Drosophila melanogaster: one gene and its partner. The protein of the gene in region 2 interacts with the protein of the main gene of each other region in a pairwise test. Each region holds a gene or a part of one and is shown on either strand. Other genes may lie near its edges. The genes, in order: Prosbeta2R1 and CG17260.

Evidence for each region.
Region 1: the proteins of CG17260 (region 2) and Prosbeta2R1 interact in a two-hybrid assay, tested with the Drosophila melanogaster proteins (one large-scale study listed by BioGRID).

What each region holds. Positions count from the first base shown.
Region 1 is NC_004354.4:5,806,860-5,810,788, reverse strand, and holds Prosbeta2R1 (proteasome beta2 subunit-related 1), read right to left. Parts: upstream 1,836-3,929; 5' UTR 1,784-1,835; coding exon 1,695-1,783; intron 1,638-1,694; coding exon 1,458-1,637; intron 1,387-1,457; coding exon 732-1,386; 3' UTR 631-731; downstream 1-630.
Region 2 is NT_033779.5:3,035,177-3,039,531, forward strand, and holds CG17260 (uncharacterized protein), read left to right. Parts: upstream 1-2,053; 5' UTR 2,054-2,095; exon of another isoform or gene 2,096-2,227; intron 2,228-2,234; exon of another isoform or gene 2,235-2,353; 5' UTR 2,354-2,417; coding exon 2,418-3,512; 3' UTR 3,513-3,617; downstream 3,618-4,355. Other genes in the region: CG17258 (uncharacterized protein), read right to left, coding at 1-66; SerRS (Seryl-tRNA synthetase), read right to left, coding at 469-1,974; cnir (cornichon related), read right to left, coding at 3,955-4,027, 4,092-4,355.

The DNA of each region.
Region 1 (3,929 bases), on a different chromosome or scaffold from region 2:
CAAACAGTCGACAAAACAAAATCAGAGTCACCTTTCCCACCACCAAAGGATGAGGATGTGTGGCAAGGAGTGGACTTGCGATATAATCTTATAATGATGCTGGTCTCCGCCGGAGTTCCAGTTCTCTAGTCCCAAGTCCTGTATCCTGTATCTTGTGCATCCCCATTTCGAATTCCTGGCCTTATTTACACGTCCTCGCAGTTCATCGCCTGATGGGATGCTAGTGAAGTTGGATCCCGATTACGGGCGGACAAACACCTGGCCTCCTTCAAATCCATTCACCGCATTCTCCGCCAAAAGGACTCCCCAGATGCTTTGCCGGATTGATGGCAGTCCAACCATTGGGAATTGCGAAGAGATTCAAACAATTTTCGAGCAGAATGCTAGGCCACGCGACGGGTTCGGATTCGCAACCAGCTACACTGTGAGAAAAGAGCTGGCACATCTCTTGATTTATTTGACTGCCATACCACGGGAGTTCCGTTCGTTTGTTCTGAATTTTTGGCCAGTGCTCTCTAGTGGGCATGACCAACTTTACAACTTTCCCGCACATTCTATGCCCCCTAGGAAAAACGCCTGATGTTCCTGGCAGCCCAGAGTCGCAGAAGCAACAACATGATGCCAGAATTTCTAGGCAATCTTTGCATTCTGTGAATGCATTAACATTTATGTAAAGCCATGTGGCTATTTAACGGTTAATTTGCTCGAACTGAAATATATGGTATGGATGTCTATGGTGATTTAGTCTGCGATCCTTCGGGCAGTTCCTCATCCGCTTGCTGGGAATCCAACTGAACGCCACTGGTGCCCGGCTGTTGATCATCCACTGCATAGATTCGCTCATCGGTGACCTGCAGACTCAGCACGGAGATCGAGGTGACCATAGTGGAGTTGGGCTTAATGCCGTATTTGCCCAACCGCTCGCCTTTCTCGCTGGCAATCGTATCGGTTCTCAGGTAAACCGCTCCCTTTGCGGTGATCACGCATAAATCGATATTGGATCCGGAGCCCAGGTCGTTGAACACACCCGCCGAGATGGCCTCGCGGACCAGCTGCTTGCCCTGCTCCAGGTCGAGATCGGGCTTCCAGCCGTGCTCCAGCACCGACATGGCTGCCAAGGTGCCGGAGCCCATGGCCGCGTAGGGTATCTTATCGTTGGAACCGCACGGATAGATGCAGTACAGCTGCGGCCCAGTCGTGTCCACGCCGCCCATCACTAAGGCGGCACCAATGTGACCCTGGTAGCGAAAGAGGGTCCTGCGAAGCATCATGCTCGCACAGACTACCGGCACCCGTCGTTCGGTGTTCAGCCGGTGCAAATCCAGCTCGGCGCTGGTCGTCAGGGTAATCATTTCGGTGTCGGCAGCGGTGCCCGCGCCACAACAGCTGCGAATGGGTAATGCAGATATGTAGGGGTCCATTTTCAAAGGCGCATCAAGCGAATGCTGGGTACTCACTATATGTGATCCTGAAGGTGGTGAATTTTTGAGCAATTCTTGTCGGAAACAATGGGTCCCTCGGTGGCACGAGTGTCGGCGCCCAGGATAACGCCGTCCTTGTAGATGATGCCCACAATGGAGGTGCCTGTTTTGATCGCCTTCGGTGGCTCATATCCCTTGGACAAAAGCTCGGCATTTCTGTGGAGAAAATCTATTCGTTTTGGATATATTCATAATGATCAACATGTCTCTTACCGCCTGCAATTTATAAAGTTGAATCCGGACCGCAAGCCAACAAAATCAGCGGATGTATTCGCCTTTCGGGCGGAAAAAGGAAAGAGCATCGTGCGGATGTATGTAAATATATAATGTAGTGCGTTAGCTAGACAGTAAAATCAAAGATAACTTATCAATGGTTAAAAAAATAAACAAAGTTTAATATTTGCTTCTACGAATTATAGTCACAAGTTTTATGTTTTTCGCCTGCAAACACTGAGAGCCCATAAATAGTCTAAAAATTGCATATTCATGATGACAATTGATTTTTTCGCTTAATGAAGAGAAGGATTTTAAAACGAAATACTTTGGAATCGATTGGAAATGTGCTTGAGCGTAAAGAAATCGGAAATGTGCACTCGTTTGGAAGACCATCATAAAAAAGTGACCGGTGAAAAGTTATCGATGCAGCGGCAGCCATTTCCACCCATTTCCACCCAATGCCACCCATTTACCAACTGCACTTCAAATGCCAAACAATTTGACAAAGCTTAATTGGTTGCCTAGCCCACGAATCTGCATGTGAGTGCGATTGCCTGAGTGTGTGTGTGTGCGTGGGCGTGCGTGTGTGGTCGAAAGTTTGTCCATCTGACATGAGAATGTGTGTCCTTTCACACGCACACACACACACACAAACACACTCACGCGCACAAATATGAACTGACAGCTCTGCATATGTATTTGTATTTGTATTTGTATTTGTATTTGTATTTGTATTTGCACTTGCATTTGCATTCGTGTGGGTGCTCCATAATCCAAGGACACGGATACTCAAGCCGAGCGAGTGGAAATGGAAATGGGAATGGGAATGGGAATATGTCCTTGTAACTTGGTCAGTTTCAGATGGCCGACACCAGCACATGTGGCACAAATCAATTAGCATTAATTAGAATACAATTATATTTTAATCAACATTTGGCCAGCAAACTGCGACGATTGCAATGTTCACTTCAAGCTGTGATTTCACTTCACTTCAGTTGGGTTACCAAACCACCAAAAGGACTTCGCCATATTACGTTCATGTATATGTTATTCAATTAAAAAAAAAAAAAAGAGTTTACATACAGATAATACGAAGAGTGAGATATATGTATTAATTGAAATGTTTTTGAGAAAAATGCTGAATCAACAGGGATTCTTAAAGTGCCTACAATTAGAAGAGCTTTCATCCTTCGCTTTTTCAAGCCTCGAAAAACTTTTCCTCCGCAATTTAGGGCCGCAAAACTTTTGCAACAAATGCAAATGCAGCTAGAGTAATTTTCTTTTTTACCACTGCCATTCGCAATATTTTCGTCCGGGATTTTCCGTTTTTGGACAGCAGTTGGCTTTTCAATTAGGCGGCAGCACAAACACCTGACGGCGAAAATTCGGCGAGAATCGACATCCGATGGCAGGCCTAAAAATGGAAAACTAATCAAGACTTGGCATTCAATTTTGATTTCTGTTTTGTTAACAGCAATTGGAAAAGTTTGACGCCCGCACTTACCCTCAAAAAAAAAAAAAAAAAGAAATCGAACAGGTTGTTCTGCCCTCCATGGGAATCCCTTTTTTTTTTCTTTTCTTTTCTTTTTTTTTAGGGTTTCCCTTCATTTTATGTGGCCGTAACTTTGCCCAGGATAATTATGGTGAAATGCCGCCACTGACAAAAGGTTGCGTCCTTAGCTGATTGGAAGATTAAAATTTAATAAGATTATAAAGTCATTTGGGGCCCGTTTGGTGGATGTTTATTTGGGTTGCCGCAAATAACGCCATAAATAAATAAGATAGTCACTCGATGTCATCTGGTTATTGATTAAGTAACTGGTGTTTAAGTTATCGAATGGCTCTGAGAAGCTGACCTTTTGCTTAGATACTTAATAAGAACTATCCAGCAAACTGGATACATTTTTCCATTTCTCACTCTTTATAGTCAAAGTGCGGTTTTTTAATGGAAATTTTCGCCTAGCCTGCTGCCAATATTTAGCATGCTAATGACTTTCAGTTAGCTGAGAACTCACACACACAAACACAAAGGGAGCGATGCCAATTTCAAAAACGACGCCATGATGAGTCCTTTGATGTTGCCTTGCTGTCCATTTCCCATTTACTGGCTAGTCCCACTCGAATGGCGCTTGCATCCTTGTGGACCACTGCACTGCGCTATTAGCACACATCCAACCATATCCATGCAACATGCAACGTTCAACGTTCAACGTCCAACATCCTGCCAAAGGA
Region 2 (4,355 bases):
GCGCTTGCGTATGCGGTCCCAGCGAGTCTCCTTGCTCGGCTTCTCACGTCGCTTAGGATGCGACATCTTTATAAAACAATTCTTTCACACTGTGATAGTTAAATTACGTCTACTCAATTTAAAAATGATTTGTGAACTTGGGAAAATTTCGTAAACAAGTTGAACATATTGTCCTGACAACGAAAACTGCCGGCCGGGGTGACTTTCCCTATCAACCATTATTATTATTAGGATAGAATCTATTGGGCAGATATTATTTTTTATACCGCCATTTGAAAAAAAAACCTTTATCCCCTAATAACAAAGACTGTCGATTGCATTCAAAGCACAGCTTGATCCAGTTTAATCGTTATAAAGTTTCTATAAATGCCATAAATATTAGATAAGTCGATAAGTAACAAAAATTTTGTGGACTTTGCAAGCTTAGTTTAGCAGTATATTTCGTAGTAAATTATGTGAACTTTAGGCTTAACCGGCGGCAGGGTCCTTCTTGGTTTTCTCCTTTTTGCCTTTCTGCTTCTCGGCGGCGGCCAACTCCAGATCAATGGGAGCGGGCTTGACGAACGGAATCTCATCCTGGAACTTCGCCGGCATGTACTTCTTCAATGGCTCCGGCACCTTGATGCCCGTCTCTGTCTGATGGGTCTCCAGGATGGCGCAGATGACGCGAGTGGCTGCGCACATCGTGGCGTTCAGCATGTGCACATAGTCTACGGCGGCGTTCATCTTCTTAGTCTGGCCGAAACGGACGAGCAGACGACGGGCCTGGTAGTCCAAGCAGTTAGAGCACGAGACAAGTTCCCTGTAAGCGCCGCTGCCGCCGAACCAGGCCTCGAGATCCAGCTTCTTGGAGGCAGCATGGTTGAGGGCACCGGAAACGATGTTAACAACGCGATATGGAATGCCCAGCGACTGGCAGAACTGCTCCGCATTCCCGATCATCTCGTCCATCATCTCCCACGACTTGTTGTCGTGTGGGGAGGTCAGTACGAACTGCTCCACCTTCTCGAACTGGTGGACGCGGAAAATGCCGCGAGTGTCGCGTCCGTGCGAGCCCACTTCCTGTCGGAAGCAGGTGGACAGACCAGCATACTTAATGGGCAGCGAAGACTCCGGTAGCCATTCATCGCGATGGTAGGCGGCGATAGGCTGCTCTGAGGTGGCGATCAGGTACTTCTCATCGATGCCCACCTCCTCCGCCTTCTCGCTGCCCTTGCCCACCACCTTGTAGAGCTCCTCGTCGAACTGTGACAGCTGGGCCACCTCCTGCATTACCTCCTTTCGCATGAAGAAGGGCGTGTACAGGGGAACGTAGTCACGGGCGTACAGCAGGTGCAGAGCGTGCTGGATAAGAGCCTGCTCCAAAAAGACTGCGGCTCCGGTAAGAAAGTAACCACGTCCGCCGGACACCACGGCTCCTTTCTCCGCGTTCATGCCGTCGATCATCACGATGAGGTCCACATGCGAGTACTTGCCGCGCTTTTCGCAGTCGCCAAAGGTGCGCTCCACGCGGTTCTCGTCCTCGTCGTTAGACACAGGCACGGACTCGTGCAGGTGGTTGCCCACCTCCCGCAGTGAGGTGTTCCTCGTCTGCTCGGCAAGCTCTAGCGACTTCTGGTTCTCGGTCATTGCGTCGTCGATGAGAACGCGTAGCTGCTTGATCTGGTTGACGGTCAACGGCTGCAGTGTCTCGGCTACAATCTCTGTGAGGTCCTTGGTCACGTCTGCGGGCAGGTCCTCGCTCATGGCACCAACCGGCTCCTTCTTCTTCATCTTCTCGCCGATCACCTTGCTGCAGACGTTCTTGACCTTGTTCAGGTTGTCGGCACGGTGGCGGCACTGACGCCACTCCGTATCCTTGGCGATCACAGTCTCCACCAGCGCCACATCCTTGAAGCGCTTCTTTTGATTTTCGCGCACGAGGTCCGGGTTGCCCCCCTTGTCGCTGCGAAACAGATCCAGATCCAGCACCATTTTAGTTACCCTTTATTTCAGTTTCAGTCGCGTATTAGCTTCGATTCTCTCGCGTTTCGTCGGCGTTTTCACAACGTGGCTAGGCTTTTCGTCAGCTGGGCAGTGCTGGAAAGCGATGGTGGTAAGTGCATATTTTGGCTGAGATTATGACGAAGTTCATTCTTGTGACTCATCAAATTTCTAAGTGCTTCTGAAAAGTTAACCCAAGAATTTTATAATGTTTTTTTATATTTTCTGTTTAGTTATTTCCCATAAGAAATACCCTTTATAACCAGAATAACATAACTGACAATATAAATATCGCTTAAAACGTACACTTTATTCGTCATCATTTGAAACATACATGTCAGCAATTCACAACACTACTTGCTTTTAGCAGCTGTTCAAAATAGTCCAATAGGAGGAGAACAGCAGCGAATTCGCAACAGATTCCGACTTCAACAATGAGCTTTATTGACCAGGAAGTCACGGAGTTCCGAGCAAAATGTGAGAAGCAGGTGCCGCACACGAAGATCATTATTTGCTCCAACTCGCTGATCCGGGTTGACATATACCCGGAGCGGCCGAATCGCTCGATGACTATGTGCCTTCGATTTCCAGAAAACTACCCGCAGAGCACCCAAATTCTGGTGGAGCTGAAGAGTCGTGTGTACTCCGAAATGCTTCTGACGGAGCTTACCCGGCTGATCGACGACTATGCCAGGGATTTCATCGGGAAGCCACAGGCATTGCAAGTGCTGGCCTTCGCCCAACAGTATTTAACTGATAATCCGCTGTGCGTGTGCTTGGAGGAGATCAAGCAGCTGAGAGCGGACATCAAGACTGGAGGCACGGAGAGCCAGTTGAAGCTGAAGCAGAAGAACAAAAGCGTGGAGCTGGTCGCCAAGGGCGGACGCTACACCTACAGAGTAATCGCTGTTGTTCCGGACAGCTATCCCATGCAGAGTGTGGAGCTGCGCGGTCAAGATTCCAATCTCCCAGCCGTGCTCGTGCGTTACCTAAACGGCCAGTCAAAGGAAATAGCCCGGCAGTGCGTGGAGCCACCGATCCGTATGAGCAAGGAGGCTCTAGCCAATTTTCGGCCTGTTAGGAGTCTGCAACGCTCGCTGAAATTCTGCCTGGAAGCCACCCGGGACTTTCACACCGAGCGTTGTCCCATATGTGATAGTACCGTGCTACCCGAATACCCAGAGGACATAGAAACGGATGACAATGCCGACTTCTTCATCGAGCGCGTCTACTGTGGTCATCTCTTTCACCAAGGCTGCCTTAAGAAATACCTATCGGAGCCTCCGTTTCCAAAGGGTGGCAAATTATGTCCCGCCGCGCGTCGCCATCCTCGTTCCGATGCCCAGACCTATATGGGCAGGTCACAGGGAGGAGGAGCCACCGTTTCCAAAACTCCGGAGGACACTGTGTGCGGCATCAAGCTGGCTCACGATCGGTGGGTGGTCAGCGTAAAGACCGCAGAGGCGCGCTGGGCCCAGAAACAGGCTCGCCAAAGAGAACTGGAGGAGGTGGTCGACTTTCTGCAATAACAGATGATCGACTCAAGAACAGCTTACTGTGTATGGTTATGTATTTTGTGATTTCTATTCGAATACGCTTATATTGCTAAAGATTAAATAAATAAAGTGAAGATGAAGTGCGACTAGGTTGGTTTGGGCAAGTGTTTCGTCTATCCTGTTAACGCAATTGAGCACACTGCGGTGTTACAGTCTTTTTTAAAGATTTAAAAATAAAATAATAAATTAACTAGTCTAAGGAAAATTTTCAATCAATTTTCGGTTTAGGTTGTGAGAATCAGGCAAATGCTCTTATCAAATTCTGCGAAAGTGTTCGAGGAAACTTGTTTGTTAGATGTACGCCTAAGTTTTAGTTACAGAATTTTAGATTGCAACTATAACCAGGCTTGGTAGTTCGGTCTAGGATGAAGAAATTTGCTGGAAGCCCTTTGGTGCAGGCTTATTTGGCTAAACTTCAGAAATCCGTTACTATTTCGTCGTCCTCATACCGCTTGATGGGATCTCCCTTGATTAGTGACGAAATAAGGCTGTAAAGACAAGAATCAGATAACTTCGTAGAGATGAACATGCAGTTTTCAACGTCTAACTCACCAGTACAACCCCACGAAGAACATAACGAAGTAGTAGCCCAGATAAATCATACAATTTCTCAGATGGACCTTTAGCAATCCCCGACTGTGTATGTCCACCGGATCGTAGACACCCAGACTATCGCGCCGCTGGCGATGCAGCTCGTAGAAAAGCCAAATCACCATAGGCAGGTTAAGGAGAAACATCACCCAGTGGCCTCCGAGTAACAGAAGCACGCAGAGCAGGGCGTGGGATCCGAACTTGGGTATTACCCAGAAGTTGAGG